2 linked regions of the Pelodiscus sinensis genome follow. The main gene of each other region encodes a partner of the protein of the gene in region 2 in a complex. Links are inferred from orthologs where the notes say so. Each region holds a gene or a part of one and is shown on either strand. Other genes may lie near its edges.

Region 1 (15,145 bases), on a different chromosome or scaffold from region 2:
CCAAGCATTGTTACGGGCTGGGGAATGACTGGCTAAGAAGCTGTTCTGCAGGAAAGGACCTGGGGGTTACAGTGGATGAGAAGCTGGATATGAGTCAACAGTGCGCCCTTGTAGCCAAGAAGGCTGATGGCATATTGGGGTGCATTAGGAGGAGCATTGCCAGCAGATCTAGGGAAGTGATTACAGCCGCTCCCCAAGTTACGACCACCTCCACTTATGACCATCCGCACTTACAACCAAAGCGGTCATAAATGTGGATCCAAGTTACAAACGGCGATCCGCGCTTACGAACAGTGCGATCGCCATGTAACTCTATGGGATCTGAGTTACAAACACTTCGAGTTATGGACCAAGTGTTGGTCCGTAACTTGTTCATAACTCGGAGAGTGGCTGTATTCCCCTTTATTCGGCTCTGGTGAGGCCACATCTGGAGTACTGTGTCCAGTTCCGGGCCCCCCACTACAGAAAAGATGTGGATGCATTGGAGAGGGTCCAGCAGAGGGCAACCAAAATGATTAGGGGGCTGGAGCACATGACCTATGAGGAGAGGTTGAGGGATTTGGGTTTGTTTAGTCTGCAGAAGAGAAGAATGAGGGGGGATTTGAGAGCAGCCTTCCACTTCCTGAAGGGAGGTTCCAAAGAGGATGGAGAGAGGCTGTTCACAGTAGTGATGGATGGTAGAACAAGGAGCAATGGTCTCAAGTTGCAGTGAGGGAGGTCTAGGTTGGATATTAGGGAAAACTATTTCACTAGGAGGGTGGGGAAGCACTGGGATGGGTTCCCTAGGGAGGGGGTGGAATCTCCATCCCTAGAGGTGTTTAAGTCTCGGCTTGACAAATCCCTGTCTGGGTTGATTTAATTGGGATTGGTCCTGCCTTGGGCAGGGGGCTGGACTTGATGACCTCCTGAGGTCACTTCCAGCTCTATCATTCAGAGAAAGTGTGGCTTTTTTCCTTCTCACTTGTGTGGGCCCCCAACTGATTTTTCTATGGGCCAGTGGCCCCAAACCCAAAAAAGGTTCCCCACCACTAGGCTAGATGGCCCTCTGGTCTGACTCTTTGTTCTAAATTGATCTGTGAATAGTTACTTTGTTATTCTGTTAGAAAAATCAGTGGGAAAAGAAGAGGGTGTAGGGTAATTTTTTCTTCAAAAGGACCTGCTGCATTATTGGGATGAAGGGAGACAGAACTCCCTCTGTCTTGGAGACCACCTAAAAGTCATTTAATTTCCTTTTCATGTGGATCTTTGGAAAAAAAACATATAGTTGCCTGGAAAATGGGTTTTATTTTGTCCCATAGGATTAATCTTTTTTTCACATTTAAACTTTAAACATTCTAAGGATGTTCGTATATTCTTAATAGCCTGTGCTGGTTCAGCTAGTCACTGGGACTGACTCTGCTTGTTTCTACCTCAAAGGAACAAAACAAGTGGAAGAGGAGGATAGAAAAAAAGGAAAACAGTGAGCGTTCCACCCCCGAAAGAAATATTTATTGCATTAATGACAACTAAAAATACACTTCTCTAATATTTTCCATGCAATAATACTTTCCACTGGGATGTCGTGCTACAATAAATGGCACATCACTGGTGTCTTTGAGACCCCTCTGTTAAGAGGCAGTCCACAGTTAAGAATCTGTTCACTGGTATAATCAGACAAACGAAGGGGGAAAATTACTTGAGGTTATGTCTGCACAACAGGTTTAAGCACACTTTATTTAGAAGGATTGTCTGTCAGCATGATTTCAGGATAAGAGTTTCAGTATATACAGATGAACACATGGATGTAATATTTTAACAGAATACTTGTTCAAAGGGCCGTTTTCTGAGCATGTCAAGTTTGCGCATTTCTAATATGGCATAGCCAGTGCTGTTTCACATTCAATTCCATCAACATTTCTGTTGATTGATGACTGCTTTATTTTGAAAGGTCATATTTCTGCTGCTTTAAATCCTATTGCAAGTTTAGCATACTTGTATTTAGCCCTATTCTATTTTTGATTTCATGAAAGTGACCTAAATCCTTCAAACTCCTTTTTACAGAATTTTAGAAATGGAAGTCACAAAATTCAGACTTTTTTTGCAGACAAATTCAAGCTCAGAACAAACAGGTTTGGTTTAAAATAAAAATGTACATATTAATGTCAAAAAGATGTCTACAGGCATATACATTAATTAATTAGGCCCTGATCCTGTAAACTGCTCTGTGCAGGTGGATCTCCATGCATAAGCAAAGCCCTGTTGGGTGTGGGTTCTCAGATAGCACATGCAAGCCTTTAGAATGTCATTTTAAAAGTGTAACTTAACTGAGCATTCACATCTTCAGCTGGACATAAATGTGAGCTGTGTATATTAATCAACTCTGTATATCAAGCATTAATGTGTGCTGGTAGCTTTTAGCAATGGCAGTTTTAAGAACATTTTAAAAATGGCACATTTTAGTTGAGTAGTTGCTACTTATATTCATTTTCAGTTTTTTTATTTACCAATGTAACTGCACAGTTTCAACTCCAAATTGTAACTCTCCTCGTGTTTGAATACAAATGTGCTAGAATGAAGCTGAAGAAATTTATGATTTGGAACTGAAGGCGCACAGTTCTGCTTGATCTTCACTGCCTGTCGTTTTCCTTTGAAGAAGCAGCATTAGTTTTGAACTTGCACCCTTCAAAAACAGATAGAGAGACTAAATTGAATTAAAGTGTTCCTCTGGGACATTGAGATAAGTCTGAATGTTTTTAAAAATAACACATTAGTTCCACATATACACTGTAAAATTAAATGATGGAGAACCTGCTAATGCAAGGCCTCATCTTGCAACAGTTTATGGATATGCTTAACTTTATGCATATGAGTAGTTTTACTGCACTCCATGGGATTATTTACAAATTTGATATTAGATGTGTAAATCTGTGCAAGATTGGGGCCTAACCTTGTAAAGATACCAATCTCAGTGCAAGTCAGACTAAATCTACACAATGTGATTTGTCCTTTTCATAGGTGTTCATTTTTTTAATTGTATCCTTTGGTATATATGGTTGTGACTACTTTCTTCCACTATTTGATCTGAGGAAGTGGGTCTGGCCCACGAAAGCTCATCATCTAATAAACCATCTTGTTAGTCTTTAAAGTGCTACATTGTCCTGCATTTTGCTTCAGCTACCCCAGACTAACACGGCTACATTTCTATCACTAAATCTACGCTATGAGCTAGGGTGTGAGTCCCATCTCCAATACACACTCATACACACTCTCCTCTGAGCACACTAAAATAGTGTAGCTGTGATAGCATAGGCACTAGCGAACAGCAATACTTGATACCCTGTATACAAACTTGCCTGAACCCCTCTTGGAGAAGCTAGTCCATACTACCATGGCTCCATTACTATTTTTTAGTGTGCTAACTCACAAGACAGCTAGAAAAAGCATGTTATGAAAACTGGGGCTCACACCCCCAGTACATGATGTAGAAGTAGCCTAAGCGTCTGACTCTAAACCAGTGATGGACAACCTAGGCTAGTGAGTGGGACATAAGTGACCCTCCATCTCGGTGGGCTGCAAAATATTTGTAACCAAGATGGTCTCCTGTGCTAGTAGAATAGTGTAGTTTTGCTAATTGTTCATGTGTACCTAGCTTTTCTGGGTGTGCTGATTGAACCGTAGCAGCGCTTTGATTGGATGCAGAGGGAGCACATGGCTCTTACCGTCAATGTTGTGTGCAGTCATTACACACTTCACTTCATGTGCACTTGCATGTCACTTGAGTAATATCGTTAGGAAAAAACCTACATGGAACCAGAAGAATTTGAGAACGGGCAATGGTAAACAAAATGTCTTGTGAGTCACACACAGAACCCCAATGGGCCACAGATTGCCCACCACTGCTCTAAACACTCAGAAGTGAAACTATAGTAAAATGGTTAGTGCAAGTTTCACCACTGTATATGCTAAACTTATGCAAACACACACCAAAACCTTTGTCTGGAATGAAAATGAAGTTCTAACTTAAAAAAAGGGAAATGAGTTGATTTTATTTTTTACTAGTAAATAAAAGAGTCTTTTCTACCCTGCACCCCTGCTTCCAATATTTTAAACATTTGTTTTGTGAAGACTACTATGCTTTGTTATTAAGATTAGGCCATTAAATGTTAATTTTGGGCTCATTGTCATTCCACTAAAATTGATAGTTTTGTAACCTTTATTTCCACAGCTCCCATTGATGCACTGATCCAAGTGTAGCTTATAACCCAGCTTTTTACCGAAGAATTGTGAGTTCCAGCATGTTGCTGGGGTTTTTTTTTAAGAATGCATTGACCCAGGGCTTGGAAAAGAAAGTTGGCTTAAATTTTGCAGTTGATACGCTAAATCATGGATATCCTTTTCTATAACATTAAACAGTTTCCTTAAATTGGGGTCCTTGGATCATGAGTGCATTGCAAAGTTAAATGTCAGATGCTGCTACTCATATTCCACTGCTAATTCACAATAAAAGCTAAAACTCAGAATTGGTCAGAAAATGGAGGGGGGGGGAATCATGAAAATTTTCATTTCTATTTTATTGAAATGCAATCTATTTTGCAGTTAATTTTATAAACTAGTATCCCTGTATGGAATATACGCACAATCATTACTGGGTGATAGGATGTCCATGGGATACTTTTTATAGGGCGTACCATATATTAGAAATGTTTGGTCTACCTCTCCAACTTTCCAGCTCAATACCTATTTTCTCCTTTGCCCAAGCCTTAATTACTCTTACTCTCAGTGATGTTCTGGTGTTAACTCCCCAATACTTTAGGTGAATGTATAAACATTGCGCTACAAAATAGATGTGGATTGTACTGTTCGGACCATTTGTTTAATCTAGGTAACCTTAAGAAACAGAAAGGTTGGGAACAGGTGCACGTGGGAAGCTGAGCAGTCAGCACACAGAGCACAAAAATCAGGCTTGACCCGACAGCATATTTTGAGAGGAGTGGGAAGAGACACAACCCCAGGTTGTTGGGTAGCCATGTGGGAAGATAACTTGTCACACCCTAAGGCTGTCAATCAGTATATGGGGATTGTAGTGACATCTCCAGGCTGGAACACCCCCCTTCAGCTGTGAGGGTGTGAGGATACTTCCTGTCAGTAGATGAGAATGGGGTTCACCTACAAGGCTGCTCCCCAGCTTCAGAAAGCTGGAGAAGGGATACCCCAACCCCTCTCAAGATATGAGGTTAGGAGTCGTTGCCCTTCACTTTTTCACACTGGGGTGGGGGGGACCACACACCCCAGGCTGTACTCCTTCAGCACACCCACCTCCAGTGGGATATGAGGTGGTCATTCTCTCCCCCCCCCCCCCCACACACACTTCAACACACTGCAGGCAGGTCACACCCTAGTCTGCCCCTTTCAGCAGTGTAACCCTCCAGCTCAATATAAGGGGTAGGGGTCTCTCGCAGGCTGCCCCCCCCCTTCAGCACATGAGGCAGGGGAACCCCTAAGGGTTGCCCAGTAGAGGTAATGTCTGGGCTGCCCCCCCTTCAGCACACTGCAGGCAGAGGGGAACCCCCCAATTCAGCCCCGTGGAGGGGACTCCTAGGCTGCCCCCTTTCAATACGTCAGCCCCGTGGGGGGGCCCCCTTGAGCACACTTCAGGCAGAGGGGAACCCCCCAATTCAGCCCAGCGGGGGTGACTCCTAGGCTGCCCCCTTTCAATACGTCAGCCCAGTGGGGGGGTCACCCCCAGGCTGCCCCCCTTCAGCACACTGCAGGCAGAGGGGAACCCCCCAATTCAGCCCAGTGGGGGTGACTCCTAGGCTGCCCCCTTTCAATACGTCAGCCCCATGGGGGGCCCCCTTGAGCACACTTCAGGCAGAGGGGAACCCCCCCCATTCAGCCCAGTGGGGGTGACTCTAGGCTGCCCCCTTTCAATACATCAGCCCCGTGGGGGGGGGGGTCACCCCCAGGCCGCCCCCCTTCAGCGGCAGGGCACCCCCCCGTGGGGGAGGGGGCGCTCGAGGCGGGCAGTCTGCGCTCGGCTCCCCTCCCCCCCCAGAGGCCGCTGCCCCCGGGCCTCCCGCACTGTGGTGTCCGGGGAGGGGGGAGCGAGGGGGGGCGGTCCCTGCCTGTGGGGGGGAGCGAAGCTGCTGCAGCCCCCTCCCCCGCCCGCCCGCCGCGCTCGCTCGCTGCCTCCTTCCCTCTCCGCTCGGCCGGGCTGCGCTGCCGCCTCCATCTTGTCCCCCCCCCCCCCCCGCCGCCGCCTCTCGCCGCTTCCCCCCCCCCCCCCGCACCAGCAGCCGCGGCGGAGCGCGCGGGGCCCCCGGGCGCGGCAGCGGGGCCGGGCTCGGAGCCGCCGCGGCGGGGGGCGGCGCTGAGGCGGCAGCGGCGGAGCGGACCCGACCCAGCGGACATCTTGCCCCCCCCGCGCTGCGAGCTCCCCCCCCGCGGGAGCCGGAGCCGCCTCGGCCAGGCGGGAGGAGCAGGCGGCGGCGCGGCCAGGTAACGCGGGGCCCGGCGCGGGGGGGGGCGGGGGCCCGGGGGGCGGGCAGGGAGGGGGGTGGAGGGGGGGTGCGGCCGCCTCCGCGGCGCCTTGTGGCGGGGGCGGCAGGAGGGAGGGGTGGCTGGGGGGGAGCTGGGGCAACAACCCCCCCGCCATCTTGTCCCCCAGAACGGGGTGGCCCCGCCCACCTTCTCCCACGCCATTGGTCGAGGCGGGAGCGGGGCCCGCCCCTCGGTGCTTGACACAGGCGCCGCGCTCCCATTGGCCGCCGCGGGAGGATGGAACGCGGCAGCCGCCAATGGCGGCGGAGATCCGGCTCCCCGTGCTCCCATTGTGAGGGGAGGAGGGGCTTTCCCCGCTCAAGGGCTCGGGAATGCTGGAAAAACTACAAGCCAGCGCGCCCGCGGGCCTGGCGCAGCGCCCTGAGCCCCGCCCTGCCGGGGGGGGGCTGAGACCGGGCACAGCTCACTGCATGCACCGCCCTGCCAGGGACTGACCCCCTGTGCCTAGGGGGGGTGCTGAGACCGGGCACAGCTCACTGCATGCACCGCCCCCTGCCAGGGACTGACCCCCTGTGCCTAGGGGGGGTGCTGAGACCGGGCACAGCTCACTGCATGCACCGCCCTGCCAGGGACTGACCCCCTGTGCCTAGGGGGGGTGCTGAGACCGGGCACAGCTCACTGCATGTACCGCCCTGCCAGGAACTGACCCCCTGTGCCTAGGGGGGGTGCTGAGACCGGGCACAGCTCACTGCATGCACCGCCCTGCCAGGGACTGACCCCCTGTGCCTAGGGGGGGTGCTGAGACCGGGCACAGCTCACTGCATGCACCGCCCCCTGCCAGGGACTGACCCCCTGTGCCTAGGGGGGGTGCTGAGACCGGGCACAGCTCACTGCATGCACCGCCCTGCCAGGGACTGACCCCCTGTGCCTAGGGGGGGTGCTGAGACCGGGCACAGCTCACTGCATGCACCGCCCCCTGCCAGGGACTGACCCCCTGTGCCTAGGGGGGGTGCTGAGACCGGGCACAGCTCACTGCATGCACCGCCCTGCCAGGGACTGACCCCCTGTGCCTAGGGGGGGTGCTGAGACCGGGCACAGCTCACTGCATGTACCGCCCTGCCAGGAACTGACCCCCTGTGCCTAGGGGGGGTGCTGAGACCGGGCACAGCTCACTGCATGCACCGCCCTGCCAGGGACTGACCCCCTGTGCCTAGGGGGGGTGCTGAGACCGGGCACAGCTCACTGCATGCACCGCCCCCTGCCAGGGACTGACCCCCTGTGCCTAGGGGGGGTGCTGAGACCGGGCACAGCTCACTGCATGCACCGCCCTGCCAGGGACTGACCCCCTGTGCCTAGGGGGGGTGCTGAGACCGGGCACAGCTCACTGCATGCACCGCCCCCTGCCAGGGACTGACCCCCTGTGCCTAGGGGGGGTGCTGAGACCGGGCACAGCTCACTGCATGCACCGCCCCCTGCCAGGGACTGACCCCCTGTGCCTAGGGGGTGTGCTGAGACCGGGCACAGCTCACTGCATGTACCGCCCTGCCAGGAACTGACCCCCTGTGCCTAGGGGGGGGGGGTGCTGAGACCTGGCACAGCTCACTGCATGCACCGCCCTGCCAGGGACTGACCCCCTGTGCCTAGTGGGGGTGCTGAGACCGGGCACAGCTCACTGCATGCACCGCCCCCTGCCAGGGACTGACCCCCTGTGCCTAGGGGGGGTGCTGAGACCGGGCACAGCTCACTGCATGCACCGCCCTGCCAGGGACTGACCCCCTGTGCCTAGGGGGGGGGTGCTGAGACCGGGCACAGCTCACTGCATGCACCGCCCTGCCAGGGGCTGACCCCCTGTGCCTAGGGGGGGTGCTGAGACCGGGCACAGCTCACTGCATGCACCGCCCTGCCAGGGGCTGACCCCCTGTGCCTGGGGGGGGGGTGTGCTGAGACCTGGCACAGCTCACTGCATGCACCGCCCCCCTGCCAGGAACTGACCCCCTGTGCCTGGGGGGGGGGGGGGGTGCTGAGACCGGGCACAGCTCACTGCATGCACCGCCCCCCTGCCAGGAACTGACCCCCTGTGCCTGGGGGGGGGGGTGCTGAGACCTGGCACAGCTCACTGCATGCACCGCCCCCCTGCCAGGAACTGACCCCTGTGCCTAGGGGGGGTGCTGAGACCTGGCACAGCTCACTGCATGCACCCCCCCCCCTGCCAGGGGCTGCCATGGTTGGATAGGGGCTGGAGCCAGGCTGCCATGGCCATATGGGGGCTCGGGCACTGCAGCTGGGCCACCGTGGCCACATGGAGCTGGGGCACCACAGCCGTGGCTGAATGGGGATTTCAGTCTGTGGCAGGATCAGGGCTGGAGATGGGCCATCATGGCCAGATGGGAGCCAGAGTCCCCTGCCCCAACTTCTTCTTGTGGCAGGATCAGGACCAGGACCAGGATCCTGCAGCAGGAGCCAGGTCGGAACTGGACTGCCTATGGCAGGTCCAGGCTGGAGCCCAGCAGCCCTGGTTGGTTGGAGGGCACTACAGGTCCCTTGCTTGTTCGGCTTCCTTGAGCCCCTGTATGGCGCTAAATAGGCAACTGCACAGCTGCTCAACCATGCAGCTTACAGGAATCTGATGCTGAGGCCTGTCTTAACTCTCTGCGTGCATTATCACTGGCATGGTGGATACTTGATAAAATTGATGAGACTTGATAAAATTCACTGCATGCTCTGACCAGATCTAGGGCATGCAGCTGTACTGCTGAGCCTAGACACAGTTCCTTGTCTACTTCAGTCCAAGCCATCTGCAAATACAGTGTGTGTTTGTCCTTGGTAAAGAGTAGGACTTGGTTGACATGCGTCTGGTAGGTGCGTTCGTGGGCACTGTATAAGGCATGTGATTAGGTGGACAGGCATGGCTGGTGTTAAGTCTGGTTGCCATGAGAAAAGAATGCTGTATGGTGACAAGATGACGCAGAAGCGTGACTTGAAGGCATTGAGGATTATTTCTTTGTGGCATTTATTGATTTATTTATAGGTGCCCATCGAGTGCTCTGGAAAATTAAAAACCACAATATAGACTAACATAAACAAGGCACTTCCCATAACTGTAACTACATCAGAGGGGTAGTGTGTAACATTAAAAACAATTAAAAGTCCTGTGGCACCTTAAGCCAGGTCTACACTAGGAGAGCAGTTCAAATTAAGATACAAAACTCCAGCTATGTTAATTACTTAGCTGGAATCAAAGTACCTTAAATCGCTTTTTGGTGCCATCCACACAGCAGGAGGTCGACAGGAGCAAGTGCTCCTGTTGACTTCCCTTATGCCTCATAGGAACAGGACTGCTGGTGTTGATAGGAGCACCCTCTCAGTTGGAATTAACGTGTCTTCAGTAGGGATGTAAAAGAGTTGTTGATTAGTTGACTATTGGTGTCCCCCCCCCTGGCTGCCTTTATAGCAGAGGCAGCAAGAAGGGGGGAAGCAGGAGCTAGTGCTGGGAGGAGCCGGCTTAAAAGCCAGTTCCTCCCAGCACCCTCTCTGCAGTGCGGAAGGGATGGGGAAGGCAGAGGCGCAGCAGTCAGGGACCTGACGTGAGCCGGGGCTGCTGAGTCCCAGCTTGTGCCAGGTCCCAGACCTACCTCGCTGCGCCTCTGGGCAGCTCTTACTACATTTAAAAGGCAGAGCCGCAGCAGGTTAGGTCTGGGTCTCAGCAGCTTTGGCTCGCGCTGGATCTAAGACCTACCCCTGCTGCAGTTCTGCAGTTTAAATGTAATAGGAGCTGGGCTACCTGTGCCCCTGGCTCCTACTACATTTAAACTGCAGAGCCGCAGCAGAGCCGCTAATCGACTAATCGTGGACTCGCTTAGTATCAAGTACACAATTAGTCAGTTACCCGCTTCTTAACATCCTTAGTCTTCACTAGACCCGCTAATGCGAACCTCAGAAGATCGCAGAAGATCGACGTTGCCACCGTTGATCTTCCGCATGGTATAGACATGGCCTTAGAGACTAACATATATACAGGGCTCGACAAATCACTGAATCTACTTGCCTGTGTTGTGGTGAGTAGATATCAGCCGGTCGCCCCGTTCACCGGTGGTGCGCATATGTGCAATGCAGGTCTTGCGCATACGCAGTGCGGGGCTTGGGAGCAGATTTCACTGCCGTTTGTCAAGTCCTGCACATATATATATAGTATCATGAGCTTTCATGCGCAAATCCCACTTTTTCAGGTGAGATGATCTTGAGATCTCGAGGAAGTGGGTTTTGCCCATGAAAACTTGCCAGGTGTCTACACTGCACGTGCGTTCTTGTGCAAGTAAATTTACAGTAAAGCATCGGAAAACAGGGCTTCTTCCGGAAGAGTTATTCCTTTCCCCACACGGAATAAGCCTTCTTGCGCAAGAGCTCTTCCACAAGAGGGCAGTGTAGAAAGGCGACATGATTTTCTTGCGTAAGAAGCCCCTATGGCTAAAATGGCCATCAGAGCTTTCTTGTGCAAGAGAGTGTCCACACTGTCATGGACGCTCTTGCGCAAAAGCACATGGCAGTGTGGACGCGCTCTTGTGAAAGATTTTTTGCACAAGAATTCTTGTACAAACCAGTTCTTGCGCAAGAAGCCTTCAGTGTAGACGTAGCCTAAGGTCTACATTGCATTCCTCTTTCGATACAGGAATGCAAATGCAGCCAAGTGAAATTGCAAACGAAGAGCATATTTGAATTTCCTGTGCTTCATTTGTATAATGGCGTCCGGGCGCTGTTTCAAAATGCCCTATTTCAAAAAAAAACCCTCTGTGTAGATGGGGTTATTTAAAAAAACCACCCTTTTTTCGAAATAACCCTTACGCCTTAAAAAATGAGGTTTAAGGGTTATTTCGAAAGAAGGTTTTTTTTTTTCGAAATAGGGCATTTTGGAAAAGTGCCCAGACGCCATTATGCAAATGAAGCATGGAAAATTAAAATCCGTACTTCATTTGCAATTTCGCTCGGCTGCATTTGCATTCCTCTCTCGAAAGAGGAATGCAGTGTAGACACACCCTAAGGTGCTACAGGACTACTTGTTTTATAACTACATCAGTCTGTGTCTTTCTAAGCTGCTTTAGAAATAGTGAAAAAGTTGGGATTTTCATTGTACTCAGAAGGTTAACAGATCTGGGCTCTGGTGGATCAAGGTTGGGACTGAATTCTAAAACTGAGGCCCCTTCACAGAGAATGCCCTGAAACAGCTTCTTTTCTTTATGTCAAAGGCACAGCAGGTAAAAAACATCTTTGTTGGTCTCACTTCCAACACTCTGTCATGGAGAACAAGGCATCTCTCAGGTAACCAGGTCCCAAACCAATCAGGGCTTTGTAGGCAAAGCCAACACTTTGAATTCCACCTGGAAGCTTATTGGAGGTCAGTTCTGATCATAGGGTGCTGATTAAATGTGTTCCCACTGTGCAACTCCGCTTAATCAGTGGGCTGCAGGATTCTGCAGAGCTGCAGTGTCTGAATGGTCTGAGCATGCAACCCCACAGAGAGCACATTCCAGCAGTCTTATCTTTGTGGCATGGAAAATTGCAGCAGACTCCATTCGCAGGGAAAATGTCGCACTGACTTGCAGGTGTAGTGCCCGCTTGGCCCCATCTGCTACTTTGGGTGGTCCAGAGCAGCTCAGGATATAACAGCCTCAAGTGGAGCCCATGTCTTGCACTTTGTGGATATTGGGTGCTAAAATAAGACCCCTAAACAATCCCAGCTGCTTCCTGCAGCCCACCAACATTATCTCAGTCTTGTCTGGGTTGGATTGCACCAGCTAATACTCACTCCAGTCCCAAGTTCATCTAAGCACAGAGAATGTGTTTAGCTGCTGTCTCTTGGTCACACCTGATAGAGAGGTAGGGCTGTGTCTCTTCAGTGTATTGAATACAGTGCAGCCCATGTCACCTCCCTTACCCTCTTTGAGGAGTGTCTCATACGCACTAGGGATGTGAAGGTTTAACCAGTTAAACTTCATTTCTTGAGCGTGGCGCTGAAACATGGGCGATCTTGATCCAAGTGGATGCAGCTTCTCCACTGATGTTCACCTGCCAGCTGTTTCAAGCGTCCAGATTTTGGGTTGTAACCCGAAGCTGACCTAAAGGCTACGGCTACACTGTAGCCTTCTTCCAGAAAAGCTTATGCAAATGAAGCGCAGCGTGGAATATCGCCGTGTTTCATTTGCATGATTAATTAGCAGCTGCTTTTGTGCAAGAGGCTTTTTCACAGAAAGGAGCTGTGTAGACAGCTCCTTTTTGCGCAAAAACCCTCTCTTGCACAAGAGCCGTTCCTCGTTCCTTGCGCAAAAGCGGCTACTAATTAATTATGCAAATGAAGTGTGGTGATTTTCCACGACTCACTTCATTTGCATAAGCTTTTCCAGAAGAAAGCTACAATGTAGCCGTAGCCAAAGTCTCCACAATCTCAGCAAGCAATACTGGTCGCGCCACCGCTGAAGAGGCAGGGGTATGGGCCCTCTTAAGACAGGATAACCCAGTGCAAACAAAATTGCTCACGTTTGGAAAGTAACGTGGAAACTTTTCAAGAGAAACTCAAGTTGGCATCCGAGTGGAGGCAATGAGGATTCACCAAGCTGTCAGTGTCACTTGGAACAGATTTGCTGTGCGAGACATTGCAGATGCTATGGTGGAAGCGAGGAAACATTTCTTAGCACAGCCATGGTATATGATCTTAAGAGCTGTGCATGCAACAGTCACTCAGGCTCAGTTTTAGACTTCTGCTTCCAGTGCTTTGGCACTCTCCCTTTTTGCTTGGCCTGTGACAGTTCACCAAAGTAATTTGGGAAGCCAAAGATAACAGAGAGAGAGGGGGCCTTTAGGGGTCACTGTCAGTGTGGAGGAAAAAGATTGTTATAAAGTCTCACTCGGCTACAAACAGAGTGGTCTGTTGGAAGAGCAGCCTTCTGCCTCAAAACCTGGAAACTCACTAGTTCCATCAGCCTCTAGGGTAGTGCGTGTCAATCTGTTTACCATTGTGGACTGTATATGCAACTCTCTGTGTGTTATGTGGGCCGCATCCACACTGCTGATTGGTCCACAGACAGCCCATGGGTTTAGAACCGCTGCTCTAGGGCAAACCATCATCATCCCAGTGGGATGGCACGTCTTGATCTCAAATTGAAGGAGCCTGCGGTTGTCCCGTGACAGAGGAAATTCTAACCCAGCAACAGGCAACCTAGGCATGTGTGCTGCATGAGTGGCCTTCCCTCATCTCAGCGGGCTTGGAAGTTTGTTGCAACCAAGACGGTCTCCCGGGATAGGGTAGTTTTCTGAACCATGCTTGTGTATCTAGATTTGCGGATGGTGCCGACTGAACCACAGCAGCACTTCGGTTGGATGCAAAGGCTCTCACAGTCTATGTAGTGTGCAATCAGCCTGCACCTCGCTTCACATGCCCTTGCTTTATGTGTGTGTCACTTTAGTAACACTGGTGGGGAAAAACCTACACGGTTGGAAACCAGCAGAATCTGACAACCCTGCGTGTGGGCAACAGTAAAAAAAAATGTCTTGAAGGCTGCACATAGGACCCCAAAATGAGTCGCATGTGGCCTATGAGCTGCAGGCTGCCCTCCGCTGTCGTAGCCTCTTCCCCCCAGCTGCAAGATCCAGGGTGTCCTTATGAATGGAGCTTGCAATTATGTAGGGCAGTTTTCTTGGCATGATATTCTGGAATGAGCCAGAAAAACCCTCCTCTGAGGGGATATTGAAATTATAGAGCATCATCAGTAACTCTCGTGCATGGGTTCCCAAACTGGGGGGCGTGCCCCCTGAGGGGGCATAAAGAAATTCCAGGGAGGGTGCGAAGTGACCCAGCCTCCCCCCCATCAAGTTTTGCTGCCCTGTTCAGTTCCTTTTTTCCTTTTTTTTTTTTTTGTTCAACAAGTTTTGCTGCTATTTGGGGGAAGGGCCTGAGGGTTTTTCAAAAATCAAAAAGCCAAAAAGTTTGGGAACCACTGCTCTCCTGCCATTGTGATAAGGAACTTGATCTTCCCACAGAGGATTTCTGGATCAGCATAGAGCAGCTCCACACCCAAGCTGTTGGAATCCCCTCCCAGAACTCATGCATCAGCTTCTAGGCTCAGATCTTACTGTAGTAGGGGAGATGCATTTGAGGTCAAATGCAATAAGCAACCTCACCTCTTCTTTGGTACCTTTTTGTTTCATGCTGAGCCGATCAGCTGGAATCAAATGTGCCAGCACTAATCCTGCCATGCCGTTCACTCTCTGCATACAAAGTCGGGGGCCTCATCTGTTATTGAATCCTGGATGATACTAATTTCTTTAGCCACTGACCCTGTATTGAATAGCACGGAGGCTGCTGTTGCTTTTGTTCACCAATGCCTTTTTCTCCTGAGCATGATTATTTGGTGTAACCAAAGGAACCAGAGTGTGACATCTTGGCTTTGATTTACAGTCAGCGCTTGGTGTTTCCTTTTTGCCTGCTCTTCCCCTGCTCACCAACACAAGAATTAAGGGGTCTAAGCTCTCAGAGTCTGTGCTGGCCTGGAGCCCCCCTATCCTCAGCTGATGACAGGATTGTGCAACCTTATCGGCCAGCCTGAGACATTTATCAGAGGGAACAGATGTCCAGATTAGAACCTCTCAAAGGCAGGACCCAAATTTGTCATAAAAC
Region 2 (15,145 bases):
TTCAGACTTTGCCGTTGGGAGCATATTTCTACTACATTAATTTCTAAAGGCAAAGTTTATGTTTTGGATCTTTCCTTACCTTGAATGGTATAATGTGGAATTAAAAAGATACTTCATTAAAATTTGGCATAAAAATTAGACTTTGCACAAAGAAAAACTTTTACTAAACTGATGTCAAGTTTTCAGAAGTTCTCTTTACCTGTCACTAGAAACATTTTTAAACAAGTGTTTCTCTGGAGTATCTGTAACTCAATATAACTACACTTAACATCAGAACCTGAAAGTGAAATTTACTAGAAACCAGTTATAGACAATTGATTCTTGGTTTTTAGTTGCACTGTTCAATCTGAAAGAAATGAACAGCATAAATTGCATAAAATGTGTTAGATTTGTCAAGTCTCCTGTTTTTAACTTAAAGCATTATCCATAGCACTGAAAAGAAAGGGGGGTCAGGATTGCTCAGAGGTTTGAGCACTGGCCTGCTAAACCCAGAGTTATGAGTTCAATCCTTGAGGTGGGGACTATTTGGGGATCTGGGGCAAATCTGTCAGGGATGGTAGTTAGTCCTGCTGCAAGGGCAGGGGACTGGACTCACTGACCGCTCAAGGTCCCTTCCAGCTCTATGAGATGGTATATCTCCATATATTATAATATTATTAAGGAAGTGCATTTAAAAATTCCCCATGTAACATTTTCTAAATCAAGTACCCACACTTGGTTCCTAAATCCACATTTAAGCACCTTAATAAGTATAGTACATTCATCAAAGAAACTGAATGCCTGCAGCATTTACTGACTTCAGAAGCATCTCTTATTGCTCAGCATCCCCAAAAGTCAGACCAGCATTACTCAGATAACTAAATATTGCTTTAGGATGCTAAACTTGAACCATATGATATTTTGATCATTTATTTAAATACAGTAAAACTTGGACTGTATGATACTTTGAACATTTATTTCAATATAATAAAAGATTGAGAGAAAGTTTCCATTGAGAAAAACTATGAAAATAGGTTTTAGATTGACTGTTGCAAATAAATGTTAGATTTATAAATGAACAAACTTCTAAAATCCTAGATGGGATTCAGAGGATTGATTACAGTACACTGTGCCTGTCACATCTGGATTGCCAGTTTAAATCCAGCCCAGAATAGCAGTGGGTGAAAGTTACCACACATGGTTCATAATGGAAATAAATAGCATCTCAGGCCAACTCCTACTAAGCATGCCCTCAAATTCAAAGAGTAATACAGTAAAACTCCGATGGTCCGGCATCTGACGGTCCAGCACTCCTGATGGTCCGGCACCATCAGGAACCCGGAAGTGCTCCAGGCAGCCGGACCATTGGAGCTGCTCTGCCCCCAGCTTCCCCGATTCAGCCGCTGCTAAAACTGACCAGCGCTGAATCCGGGAAGCAGGGGGCAGAACAGCTGGAGTGCTGCCGGGTAGGTCCAGTAGCGCTGCCCCTCGGGGCTGCGGGACCAACCCAGCAGCACCCCAGCTGTCCCGGATTCAGCCGCTGCTGAAATTGACCAGCGGCTGACTCCAGGAAGCCGGAGACAGAGCTGCTCTGCCCCAGCTTCCTAGAATCAGCGGCTGGTCAGTTTCAGCAGCAGCTGACTTGGGTACACCTGGAACAGAGCAGCTGGGGTGCTGCTGGGTTGGTCCCCGCAGCGCCAAGGTTTGGTGCTACCAGACCAACCCAGCAGCGCCCCAGCTGCTCTGTCCCAGGCGTCCGAGTCAGCCGCTGCTGAAACTGACCAGGGCTGACTCCAGGAAGCCCGGGGCAGAGCAGCTCTGCCTCTGGCTTTCTGGAGTCAGCCGCTGATAAGTTTCAGCAGCAGCTGACTTGGGGACACCTGGGGCAGAGCAGCTGGGGTGCTGCTGGTTTGGTCCAGTAGCGCCGCTCCTCGGTGCTGTGGGACCAACCCAGCAGCCTACCAGCTGCTCTGCCCCAGGTGTCCTGATCCAGCCGCTGCTGATACTGATCAGTGGCTGACTCCAGAAAGCCCGGGGCAGAGCAGCTCTGCCTCTGGCTTTCTGAAGTCAGCCGCTGATCAGTATCAGCAGCAGCTGACTTGGGGACACCTGGGGCAGAGCAGCTCGGGTGCTACTGGGTTGGTCCAGTAGCGCCAAGGAGCAGAGCTGCGGGACCAACCCAGAAGTACCCCAGCTGCTCTGCCCCAGGCGTCCCCAAGAGCAGCTGGGGTGCTGACGGGTTGGTCTTGCTGCGCCAGGGGTCGGCGCTACCGGACCAACCCAGCAGCACCCCAGCTGTTCTGATGCAGGTGCCCCCGATTCAGCCGCTGCTGAAACTGACCAGCAGCGGCTGAATCAGGGACTCCTGGGGCAGAGCTGGACTATCAGAAGGGGGGGCTATGAGGGGGTCTGGGATAGCATCCCCCCACCCCACCCCAGACCCCTCATAGCCCCCCCTTCTGATAGTCCATCATATCTGATAATCCGGCACCCCCTGGGTCCTAAAGGTGCCGGATTATTTGAAGTTTGCTGTACACTGCAGTTAAATACCCACAGCTGTGCCTGAACAGCTACACACAAATAAATGACCCCAGAGCCCAAGTCAGCTGGCACCAGTCAACTCTGGGTATTTATCTGCAGTATCAACATAGTCTGAGTTATGGTCTTCAGGTCCCTCAAGTCTTCTAGTTTACATCTTATTCAATTTACTGTGTGCATTTCTTTCAGCTTGAATAGTGCAAATGAAAATCAAGAACCAATTGCCTATAACTGATAAGAGAATTTCTTTATATCAAATCTATGGCCTGAATTGGGTAAGGCAACTGAGCTCTCTACTCAGTTTCAGAGGTGGTCTCGTTATGTCTCTTTCAAAGATTACAAGGGGAACCCTGCACTACCATTATTCATACTGCACCTGTTCTGTGGATAAAGGAACTAAAGCAGGGGTCTCAAACTCACAGCCCGCAGGTCATCTACAGCCTGAGCAGTTCCACAATCCAGCCCACACATGGTTGTGCACATGCAAGTCCCTGTGGAACAGCCTGCCCAGGACCCTGTGGGCCAATCTGAATACAGGGGGCCCTCCAGTCCACAGGATGCTTGAGGCAGCTGCCGCAGAGACCCCCAAAACACAGAGCCTGGGGTGGCTGCACTGAACTTACTCTACACACACCTCCCTTGGGCCACAGGAATGTGGCAGCAGTGGCACAGTGTTAGCAGATGGAGGCCACTCTGCACCTACTGCGCTGCTGGTAGTAACGCTGGGAGCACCCGGGGGTGAGGTTAAATCACCCGGGGGCATCGGAGCTGGGAAGTGCATGGGTGAGGAGGGGAGAGATGCACGGAAACCCTCCCAAACCCTGCCAGAAAGGGAACCCACAGGCCCAACAGGAGAATTTTAGGACTGACACTGGCCCTAAGGTAAACTGACTGTGAGAACCCTGAATTCAAGTCTCCAATGCTGACAATAAAAAGCAAATTCACCGAAACAAAAAAGGGCAACAAACAAAAAATGTCCCTCTCAACCATCAACATTCAAATAAAGGATTGTCATGCTGGCATCTATTGTATCTGTTACTATTGGAGGCAAAAAGTTAGATGCCTGTCCCAGTCATGCAAATGCCTCCTGGCTTTAACTATATCATGATCCGCAGACCAATTAAAACTGCAAGAACTCTGAAGATGTGCTAACAAGACAACATACCCTGACAGGCAGCAATGACATCTGTGAAGCTAGCTAGAAACTTAGCATGAATCACGCAGTATATGTCAAGAGTATTTGAAGAGAAACATTCAGAGTGGAGTTCAAGAAGGAATATGGCAAAAGTCAGCAGGATTGGTCATTGTCGTTTTCTTCAGTACATGGCCATGTGAACTTTCTGTCATGGCTGCAAAGGCTACAGGAGAAATCCTAGATCTGAACAGTTACAAGAAGTGAATGTAATTCCAAAGGGACCTGGGAATTGTTTAAAATCTTGATTGAAATGTTCATGGTTTATCTAAGGGACATAGTGGTGGACAAAGAAATAAGATACAAGTTTTGTGGCATTCCATATTTTCCTTCACTGCATTTACACAACCTCATTTTAAGACACCGCCATGAAATAATCCCAGTGAATGATCATATGAGTGCCACAGTATTAAAATGCAACCACCTCCAGAGCATAGATGTTCTCTCAGAGAGCAGACCCTAAGGCATACTACGGTTTCCCACTGTTACTATCATCGGTTCAGCTGCTATTGGTTTTACTGCTTGTGTATACAATGACCATAATGCTGTAACTATGCTGGTCTAGTAAGCAATCCTCTAATCCTACTCAGTGCAGGTCTATGTCCAACAGTGATGAAAGTAACAGTGTTCTGTTTACAATAGTGCTCTCCCCTGTACAGTCATTGTTGGATCTTTGCTGCGTAGTGAGAAATTATAGAAAGGAAACTTCATGTCATCAAGGCCTCAAAGCTTGTTAGAATGGGGAAGAACCCTGTCTGGAGCATGAAACTAATTAGATGGGCACTGAGATCTCATCAGTAACAAAAGTATGTCAGCAACAAGACCTTCTACTCTCAGAGTTGAAAATAATTTAGCCAGTAGTGTGGATGAGAGAAAGTTACTTTCAACACTGTTGCAGAAGGCTTCAGAGACTTGCAGTACAAAGGGACCCCTATCTTGGCAACTCTTGCCTTTACTTGAAAATAAACTTGTTGACATAACTTCCCCAGTGGTAAAACAGTGGCAAGAGTGAAACTACCAGTGTCAATTTCACTCTGCTAACTTGATCTTGAAGTTGGAGAGGTCCAAAATCTTATAGAAGGAGAGGAATATAAAGAAACATGCCAAAAATATGCACAGAAGAGGAGACATTATAATACAGAAGAAAGGTGTTTCATTTTAAAATGAATCTATACACGTTTCTTTATGCTAATGGAACCACATTATTTTGTACTGTAACATACATTTAAAAAGTGTTCATTCTATTACCTTTTCTTCCATCCTGTCCCCCATTTGTTCTATTGACTTGCTGACTTTTCATTAACTAAAACTAAATTTGTTGAGACAAGAACTATCATTCATTATGTGGGTTGAAATCACTTAGCACAATAAGGCTCAGATAGCATCTACAAGTCCTAATCAGCTATCACAAAACAAATAATTAATAAATAATTAATTGCGTCCAACATAGTGAATTGGGCTGGTAGCCAAATGAAACAAACAAACAAAACAAAAAAACCTTGATTTTTCTTGATAGTTAAGACCAAAGCAGACTGCGAAGAGCTTCAAACAGATCTCACAAAACTAAGTGAGTGGGCAACAAAGTGGCAAATTAAATTTAATGCTGATAAATGTGAAGTAATGCACATTTGAAAATATAATCCCTACTACACATACAATATGATATGTGGTCGCCTCATCTCCAAAAAAGTTATCTTGGCATTGGAAAAGGTTCATAAAAAGGGCAACAAAAATTATTAGGGAGTTGGAAGGGGTCTCATGAAGAGAGATTAAAAAGACTGGGACTTTTCATCTCAGAAAAGAGGAGTCTAAGGAGGGGATATGATACAGGTCTATAAAATCATGACTGGTATGGAAAAAGTTAATAAGGAAAAGTTATTTACTATTCCCACAATATAAGAACTAGGGGTCACCAAATGAAATTAATAAACAGCAGGTTTAAAACAAACAGAAGGAAGTTTTTCTTCACTCTATGCAAAGTCAACCTGTGGAACTCCTTGCCAGAGGATGAGGTGAAGGCTAGAACTTTTAACAGGGCTCAAAAAAGAGCTAGATAGATTCATGGAGATTAGGTCCATCAATGGCTATTAGCCAGGATGGGTAGGAATGGTGTCCCTAGCCTGTTTCTCCGGAGGTGGGTGACAGGGGAGGGATCACGTGAGGAATTCCTGTTGTATTCCCTTCCCCTGGGGCATTAGGTATTGGCTACTGTCGGCAGACAGGATACTGGGCTAGATGGACTGTTGGGCTGACCCCGTATGGTCATCCTTATGTCTACATGTGATGGGATGCACTAGGCCCGAAGCCCCATGCTGACCCTGGAAAAACAGCAAAGGAGAAGTCCTCCAGGCAAGCTAGAGTGGCTGCTTCTGCTGGATGAACCATTGGTCTGACCTAGTTTGGCCGTTCTTATGTCCTTTTTTATAATCCATCTGATTTAAAAATGTGAGAGGATTCTATCCTGCTTTTCCTACTGATAAGTGGAGTTAAAAATATGATACATACTCAAAGTTGTGTTGTTAGGAAGTCTCTGACCAACCCTTTAATTTCACACCCTGAATATTGGGAAGGGAACTACCTAGTTTGCCATTTGACCTGTCCAAGTGGCAGGCACAAAATACCAACTGCGTTCATGCTCAGAAACTGGAAGAAAACAGAACCATTCACTTGCCGCACAGTTCTTAAAGTCTCTTGCCCATTTTCAACTTACCAGTTACATATTAAAGAGAGTGACCTCAAATTTTGAGCCTGTATCACCATTTTTCATCAGTTCCAAGGAAATGTTGGTGTATTCTTGGCTCTTACCTTATCCTTTTCATGGGGAAGGAGTGACACTGGAGGCAGACAGGAAAGAGACTCACAGCTCTCTTTCCCCTCAGCATTGATGGCTGCTTTAGTGTTGAGTTGGTACAAAGGTCCATCTTTAAGGAGTCTGCCATGGCCAACAGCACGCTTGACAGCTAGTCGCAATTGCTGGTGAAAGATGGAGGTACCACTACCTCCAAACAATGTGGACACATCCTTCTGACCTTTCAAAAAGCGTTCAATATTCTTCAAGGATGAACCACTGGACTCTGCCAAGCCCTCAATTGCTCGTTTGATTAGTTTATTCCAGTCCACGTTTGGTTTACCATCCAACTTTCCATGGTTTCGAGGTTTAGGAAGTGCTATTCTCCCAGGATTATCAGGATCCTTGTAGGAATTGAGACCTTTGTTGGAGACTTTTAATATAGTTCCATCTTTAACACTCAATTCTAGTTGTTCCAGGACAGTTTTTCGGTCCAAACCATGGGATGAAGATACTGCATTGCATATCCGCTCCTCTGAAGGGCGCTGTTTTTGCTTCTTCACTTTTTTGATTGCCTCCAAAATCCACTCCGTATACAGCGGGTTAGCGAGTTTTACCATGGTGAAGAATTCTGTATATCCATAGAGTCGTTATCCTTTATCCCGATGCTGAATAAGCTTTACACCATGGGAAAACAGATTTTTGGAGGATGGGAACCAGTTAACCATAGCATACACATTTCTGAATCTGAATTAACTCTTTTTCCAACATTAATATTTTTCAACTGAAAGTAGAAAAATTACATAGTCTGTTAGGAATTTCTTCATGCTCTCAATAAATCCAACAGCTCTTGAGCAAGGTTTTCACAAAGTTGCACAGAACTCAGCACATGTCACCTCAATTTTGGATTTCCAATCTCACATCAGAAAAATTGGAACATTAAATCTGAAAGAAAATGAGAAAATAGTCACACACACACACAAAGACAGTCACAAGTGTTCCAATCTAGATTGTATATTCACAAACATACAAGAATACAGTAAATTCTTCTAATCCATCATTGAAGTTTCAGAGCACATTTTGTAACAAAGCTTAAATAATACTTAGGCTATGTCTTCACTTAAACAAAACTATCTGGTGCCTGATTTTCAATAGAATTTTACATCATGATAGCTATCTTGATGTAACAAACACATTTAATTTTGTAGTGAAAACATCAGCCTGAGTTCTCAATACAAAGTAACTACAGGACTCTCACAGGCACCAGGTACATTTTGCCTCTTACACTGACATTCAAGGAGTTGTGAACAGTTTATTGCAAACCACCATTTTTATAGGAGAGAGTTTATACCAGGAAGTTTGAAGTTAGTCAGCGTATTACCTCTAGCTCTTCCTTCTCATCCCCTGCTTTCTAGGAAGTGTGGGAGAACTTGCACGCAACAAAGGATTTGAAAACACCCAAATCAGACCCTGGAGCCCCCTCAGACGGGATACGCTTAACACTGAGGCAGAAGTTTAGAACCCCTGCTCAACACAAAATCTGCAGGGAAGGCGAGTTCCTGACACAGGAGCTGTACTCGCTGCTGCAGATGCAAGGGGAGATGCGGACCACAGACAGCTGCGATGCCTCCGAGTCCCCATCCCTGGGCCCGGGCAGGGACCCTGCCGCCCCCCGCAGGGCAGGCCGCTGTGACAGGCGGGGGGCGGCCCCGGGACACCGGCTCACGCTGCAGCGCCCCTGCACCTGTCAAGCCGCTCCCGCCCCGCCCGCCCGCCCGCCGGGCGCCTGACCCTGCTCCCGGGCACCGAGCAGCCCGGCCCGGCTTCCCGCGGCGCCGCCGCCCCCCTGGAGCCGCGCCACGAGCCGCCGCAGCCCAGCGCCGCGGCCCGCGCCACCGGCCTCATCCGCGGCCTGCCGTGGGCGCGGCGGCGGGGCGGCGGGGCCGAGGCCGGGCTTGGCGCAGAGCGGCGGCGGCGGGGCCGGAACAGGCCGCGGGGCCTGGCGAACCCGCCGGGCCTCCCCGTCCCGGGGCGGCAGGGCCCGACCTGCCGCCTGCCCGCGGCCCCCGCGCCGCCGGGCCCCCAGCCGCGAGCGGCCTGCGCCGCGCCACTCACCGGGGCCTGCGCGAGCCGCGAAGCGCGAGCCGGAGGCCGGACGGCGGCGAAGCCCCAAACTGACACGGCGGCCATCTTGGGTCCGGCGCTCGGCGGCGGGGGGAGGGGGCGGCGGAGGGGAATAGCCTGCGGCGGGAGGGGGACCCGCCGAGAGAACAGCCGGGCTGCGCGGGGCCAGGGAGACGCACCGAGCGCAGCGCCGCGCGCGTGAGGGGTCGGGGGGAGGGGTCTCTGGGGGCAGAAGGGTGTGAGGAGGGTTGGGGGGACGTGGGTGGGCTCTGGGGCAGAGGGGTGGGGGAGGGTGGGGTGACGGGGGTCTGGGGACAGGAGTGGGGGAGGTTGGGGTGACTGGGGGGGTCTGGGGACAGGAGTGGGGGAGGTTGGGGTGACTTTGGGGGGGTCTGGGGACAGGAGTGGGGGAGGGTGGGGTGACGGGGGTCTGGGGACAGGAGTGGGGGAGGTTGGGGTGACTTTGGGGGGTCTGGGGACAGGAGTGGGGGAGGTTGGGGTGACTTTGGGGGGGTCTGGGGACAGGAGTGGGGGGAGGTTGGGGTGACTTTGGGGGGTCTGGGGACAGGAGTGGGGGAGGTTGGGGTGACTTTGGGGGGGTCTGTGGACAGGAGTGGGGGGAGGTTGGGGTGACTTTGGGGGGTCTGGGGACAGGAGTGGGGGAGGTTGGGGTGACTGGGGGGGTCTCGGGACAGGAGTGGGGGAGGTTGGGGTGACTTTGGGGGGGTCTGGGGACAGGAGTGGGGGAGGTTGGGGTGACTGGGGGGGTCTCGGGACAGGAGTGGGGGAGGTTGGGATGACTTTGGGGGGGTCTGGGGACAGGAGTGGGGGAGGTTGGGGTGACGGGGGTCTGGGGACAGGAGTGGGGGAGGTTGGGGTGACTGGGGGGGTCTCGGGACAGGAGTGGGGGAGGTTGGGGTGACTTTGGGGGGGTCTGGGGACAGGAGTGGGGGACGTTGGGGTGACTTTGGGGGGGGTCTCGGGACAGGAGTGGGGGGAGGTTGGGGTGACTTTGGGGGGGTCTCGGGACAGGAGTGGGGGAGGTTGGGGTGACTTTGGGGGGGTCTCGGGACAGGAGTGGGGGAGGTTGGGGTGACTTTGGGGGGTCTGGGGACAGGAGTGGGGGAGGTTGGGGTGACTTTGGGGGGTCTCGGGACAGGAGTGGGGGAGGTTGGGATGACTTTGAGGGGTCTGGGGACAGGAGTGGGGGAGGTTGGGGTGACTTTGGGGGGTCTGGGGACAGGAGTGGGGGAGGTTGGGGTGACTTTGGGGGGTCTCGGGACAGGAGTGGGGGAGGTTGGGATGACTTTGAGGGGTCTGGGGACAGGAGTGGGGGAGGTTGGGGTGACTTTGGGGGGTCTCGGGACAGGAGTGGGGGAGGTTGGGGTGACTTTGGGGGGGTCTCGGGACAGGAGTGGGGGAGGTTGGGGTGACTTTGGGGGGGTCTCGGGACAGGAGTGGGGGAGGTTGGGGTGACTTTGGGGGGTCTGGGGACAGGAGTGGGGGAGGTTGGGGTGACTTTGGGGGGTCTGGGGACAGGAGTGGGGGAGGTTGGGGTGACTTTGGGGGGTCTCGGGACAGGAGTGGGGGAGGTTGGGATGACTTTGGGGGGGTCTCGGGACAGGAGTGGGGGAGGTTGGGGTGACTTTGGGGGGGTCTCGGGACAGGAGTGGGGGAGGTTGGGGTGACTTTGGGGGGTCTCGGGACAGGAGTGGGGGGAGGTTGGGGTGACTTTGGGGGGGTCTGGGGACAGGAGTGGGGGAGGTTGGGGTGACTTTGGGGGGGTCTGGGGACAGGAGTGGGGGAGGTTGGGGTGACTTTGGGGGGGTCTGTGGACAGGAGTGGGGGAGGTTGGGGTGACTTTGGGGGGGTCTCGGGACAGGAGTGGGGGAGGTTGGGGTGACTTTGGGGGGGTCTGGGGACAGGAGTGGGGGAGGTTGGGGTGACTTTGGGGGGGTCTCGGGACAGGAGTGGGGGGAGGTTGGGGTGACTTTGGGGGGGTCTCGGGACAGGAGTGGGGGAGGTTGGGGTGACTTTGGGGGGGTCTCGGGACAGGAGTGGGGGAGGTTGGGGTGACTTTGGGGGGTCTGGGGACAGGAGTGGGGGAGGTTGGGGTGACTTTGGGGGGTCTCGGGACAGGAGTGGGGGAGGTTGGGATGACTTTGAGGGGTCTGGGGACAGGAGTGGGGGAGGTTGGGGTGACTTTGGGGGGTCTGGGGACAGGAGTGGGGGAGGTTGGGGTGACTTTGGGGGGTCTGGGGACAGGAGTGGGGGAGGTTGGGGTGACTTTGGGGGGGTCTCGGGACAGGAGTGGGGGAGGTTGGGGTGACTTTGGGGGGGTCTCGGGACAGGAGTGGGGGAGGTTGGGGTGACTTTGGGGGGGTCTCGGGACAGGAGTGGGGGAGGTTGGGGTGACTTTGAGGGGTCTGGGGACAGGAGTGGGGGAGGTTGGGGTGACTTTGGGGGGTCTGGGGACAGGAGTGGGGGAGGTTGGGGTGACTTTGGGGGGGTCTCGGGACAGGAGTGGGGGAGGTTGGGGTGACTTTGGGGGGTCTCGGGACAGGAGTGGGGGAGGTTGGGGTGACTTTGAGGGGTCTGGGGACAGGAGTGGGGGAGGTTGGGGTGACTTTGGGGGGTCTGGGGACAGGAGTGGGGGAGGTTGGGGTGACTTTGGGGGGTCTCGGGACAGGAGTGGGGGAGGTTGGGATGACTTTGAGGGGTCTGGGGACAGGAGTGGGGGAGGTTGGGGTGACTTTGGGGGGTCTCGGGACAGGAGTGGGGGAGGTTGGGGTGACTTTGGGGGGGTCTCGGGACAGGAGTGGGGGAGGTTGGGGTGACTTTGGGGGGGTCTCGGGACAGGAGTGGGGGAGGTTGGGGTGACTTTGGGGGGTCTGGGGACAGGAGTGGGGGAGGTTGGGGTGACTTTGGGGGGTCTGGGGACAGGAGTGGGGGAGGTTGGGGTGACTTTGGGGGGTCTCGGGACAGGAGTGGGGGAGGTTGGGATGACTTTGGGGGGGTCTCGGGACAGGAGTGGGGGAGGTTGGGGTGACTTTGGGGGGGTCTCGGGACAGGAGTGGGGGAGGTTGGGGTGACTTTGGGGGGTCTCGGGACAGGAGTGGGGGGAGGTTGGGGTGACTTTGGGGGGGTCTGGGGACAGGAGTGGGGGAGGTTGGGGTGACTTTGGGGGGGTCTGGGGACAGGAGTGGGGGAGGTTGGGGTGACTTTGGGGGGGTCTGTGGACAGGAGTGGGGGAGGTTGGGGTGACTTTGGGGGGGTCTCGGGACAGGAGTGGGGGAGGTTGGGGTGACTTTGGGGGGGTCTGGGGACAGGAGTGGGGGAGGTTGGGGTGACTTTGGGGGGGTCTCGGGACAGGAGTGGGGGGAGGTTGGGGTGACTTTGGGGGGGTCTCGGGACAGGAGTGGGGGAGGTTGGGGTGACTTTGGGGGGTCTGGGGACAGGAGTGGGGGAGGTTGGGGTGACTTTGGGGGGTCTGGGGACAGGAGTGGGGGAGGTTGGGGTGACTTTGGGGGGTCTGGGGACAGGAGTGGGGGAGGTTGGGGTGACTTTGGGGGGTCTGGGGACAGGAGTGGGGGAGGTTGGGGTGACTTTGGGGGGGTCTCGGGACAGGAGTGGGGGAGGTTGGGGTGACTTTGGGGGGGTCTCGGGACAGGAGTGGGGGAGGTTGGGGTGACTTTGGGGGGGTCTCGGGACAGGAGTGGGGGAGGTTGGGGTGACTTTGAGGGGTCTGGGGACAGGAGTGGGGGAGGTTGGGGTGACTTTGGGGGGTCTGGGGACAGGAGTGGGGGAGGTTGGGGTGACTTTGGGGGGGTCTCGGGACAGGAGTGGGGGAGGTTGGGGTGACTTTGGGGGGGTCTCGGGACAGGAGTGGGGGAGGTTGGGATGACTTTGGGGGGTCTCGGGACAGGAGTGGGGGGAGGTTGGGGTGACTTTGGGGGGGTCTGGGGACAGGAGTGGGGGAGGTTGGGGTGACTTTGGGGGGTCTGGGGACAGGAGTGGGGGAGGTTGGGGTGACTTTGGGGGGGTCTGGGGACAGGAGTGGGGGAGGTTGGGGTGACTTTGGGGGGGTCTGGGGACAGGAGTGGGGGAGGTTGGGGTGACTTTGGGGGGTCTCGGGACAGGAGTGGGGGAGGTTGGGGTGACTTTGGGGGGTCTGGGGACAGGAGTGGGGGGAGGTTGGGGTGACTTTGGGGGGGTCTCGGGACAGGAGTGGGGGAGGTTGGGGTGACTTTGGGGGGGTCTCGGGACAGGAGTGGGGGAGGTTGGGGTGACTGGGGGGGTCTGGGGACAGGAGTGGGGGAGGTTGGGGTGACTTTGGGGGGTCTCGGGACAGGAGTGGGGGAGGTTGGGGTGACTTTGGGGGGTCTCGGGACAGGAGTGGGGGGAGGTTGGGGTGACTTTGGGGGGGTCTGGGGACAGGAGTGGGGGAGGTTGGGGGGTCTGGGGACAGGAGTGGGGGAGGTTGGGGTGACTGGGGGGGTCTCGGGACAGGAGTGGGGGGAGGTTGGGGTGACTTTGGGGGGTCTCGGGACAGGAGTGGGGGAGGTTGGGGTGACTTTGGGGGGTCTCGGGACAGGAGTGGGGGAGGTTGGGGTGACTGGGGGGGTCTCGGGACAGGAGTGGGGGGAGGTTGGGGTGACTGGGGGGGTCTCGGGACAGGAGTGGGGGAGGTTGGGGTGACTTTGGGGGGGTCTGGGGACAGGAGTGGGGGAGGTTGGGGTGACTTTGGGGGGGTCTGGGGACAGGAGTGGGGGAGGTTGGGGTGACTTTGGGGGGGTCTCGGGACAGGAGTGGGGGAGGTTGGGGTGACTTTGGGGGGTCTGGGGACAGGAGTGGGGGAGGTTGGGGTGACTTTGGGGGGGTCTCGGGACAGGAGTGGGGGGAGGTTGGGGTGACTGGGGGGGTCTGGGGACAGGAGTGGGGGGAGGTTGGGGTGACTTTGGGGGGGTCTGGGGACAGGAGTGGGGGGAGGTTGGGGTGATTGGGGGGGGTCTGGGGACAGGAGTGGGGGGAGGTTGGGGGGTCTGGGGACAGGAGTGGGGGAGGTTGGGGTGACTTTGGGGGGTCTCGGGACAGGAGTGGGGGGAGGTTGGGGTGACTTTGGGGGGGTCTGGGGACAGGAGTGGGGGAGGTTGGGGTGACTTTGGGGGGGTCTGGGGACAGGAGTGGGGGAGGTTGGGGTGACTGGGGGGTCTCGGGACAGGAGTGGGGGGAGGTTGGGGTGACTTTAGGGGGTCTCGGGACAGGAGTGGGGGGAGGTTGGGGTGACTTTGGGGGATCTGGGGACAGGAGTGGGGGAGGTTGGGGTGACTTTGGGGGGGTCTCGGGACAGGAGTGGGGGAGGTTGGTGAGGTTGGGGTGACTTTGGGGGGTCTCGGGACAGGAGTGGGGGGAAGTTGGTGAGGTTGGGGTGACTTTGGGGGGGTCTCGGGACAGGAGTGGAGGAGGTTGGGGTGACTTTGGGGGGTCTGGGGACAGGAGTGGGGGGAGGTTGGTGAGGTTGGGGTGACTTTGGGGGGTCTCGGGACAGGAGTGGGGGGGAAGTTGGTGAGGTTGGGGTGACTTTGGGGGGTCTGGGGACAGGAGTGGGGGAGGTTGGGGTGACTTTGGGGGGTCTTGGGACAGGAGTGGGGGAGGTTGGGGTGACTTTGGGGGGTCTCGGGACAGGAGTGGGGGAGGTTGGGGTGACGGGGGTCTCGGGACAGGAGTGGGGGGAGGTTGGGGTGACTTTGGGGGGTCTGGGGACAGGAGTGGGGGAGGGTGGGGTGACTTTGGGGGGTCTCGGGACAGGAGTGGGGGGAAGTTGGTGAGGTTGGGGTGACTTTGGGGGGTCTCGGGACAGGAGTGGGGGAGGTTGGGGTGACTTTGGGGGGTCTCGGGACAGGAGTGGGGGAGGTTGGGGTGACTTTGGGGGGTCTGGGGACAGGAGTGGGGGAGGTTGGGGTGACTTTGGGGGGGTCTGGGGACAGGAGTGGGGGAGGTTGGGGTGACTTTGGGGGGTCTGGGGACAGGAGTGGGGGAGGTTGGGGTGACTTTGGGGGGGTCTGGGGACAGGAGTGGGGGAGGTTGGGGTGACTTTGGGGGGGTCTGGGGACAGGAGTGGGGGAGGTTGGGGTGACTTTGGGGGGTCTGGGGACAGGAGTGGGGGGAGGTTGGGGTGACTTTGGGGGGGTCTGGGGACAGGAGTGGGGGAGGTTGGGGTGACTTTGGAGGGGTCTGGGGACAGGAGTGGGGGAGGTTGGGGTGACTTTGGGGGGGTCTGGGGACAGGAGTGGGGGGAGGTTGGGGTGACTTTGGGGGGGTCTGGGGACAGGAGTGGGGGGAGGTTGGGGTGACTTTGGGGGGGTCTGGGGACAGGAGTGGGGGGAGGTTGGGGTGACTTTGGGGGGGTCTGGGGACAGGAGTGGGGGAGGTTGGGGTGACTTTGGGGGGGTCTGGGGACAGGAGTGGGGGAGGTTGGGGTGACTTTGGGGGGTCTCGGGACAGGAGTGGGGGGAGGTTGGGGT

What was found.
Region 1: KAT6A (region 2) and BRPF3 share a complex: the UniProt entries of both Homo sapiens proteins name them as parts of the MOZ/MORF complex. The link is inferred for Pelodiscus sinensis from reciprocal best matches to the Homo sapiens genes KAT6A and BRPF3.

The regions. Positions count from the first base shown.
Region 1 is NC_134737.1:12,989,372-13,004,516, forward strand, and holds the start of BRPF3 (bromodomain and PHD finger-containing protein 3), read left to right. Parts: upstream 1-6,337; 5' UTR 6,338-6,477; intron 6,478-15,145. UniProt on the Homo sapiens protein: Scaffold subunit of various histone acetyltransferase (HAT) complexes, such as the MOZ/MORF and HBO1 complexes, which have a histone H3 acetyltransferase activity.
Region 2 is NW_027465860.1:506,847-521,991, reverse strand, and holds the start of KAT6A (histone acetyltransferase KAT6A), read right to left. Parts: upstream 8,760-15,145; 5' UTR 8,613-8,759; intron 7,443-8,612; 5' UTR 7,118-7,442; coding exon 6,515-7,117; exon of another isoform or gene 6,420-6,514; intron 1-6,419. UniProt on the Homo sapiens protein: Histone acetyltransferase that acetylates lysine residues in histone H3 and histone H4 (in vitro). Component of the MOZ/MORF complex which has a histone H3 acetyltransferase activity. May act as a transcriptional coactivator for RUNX1 and RUNX2.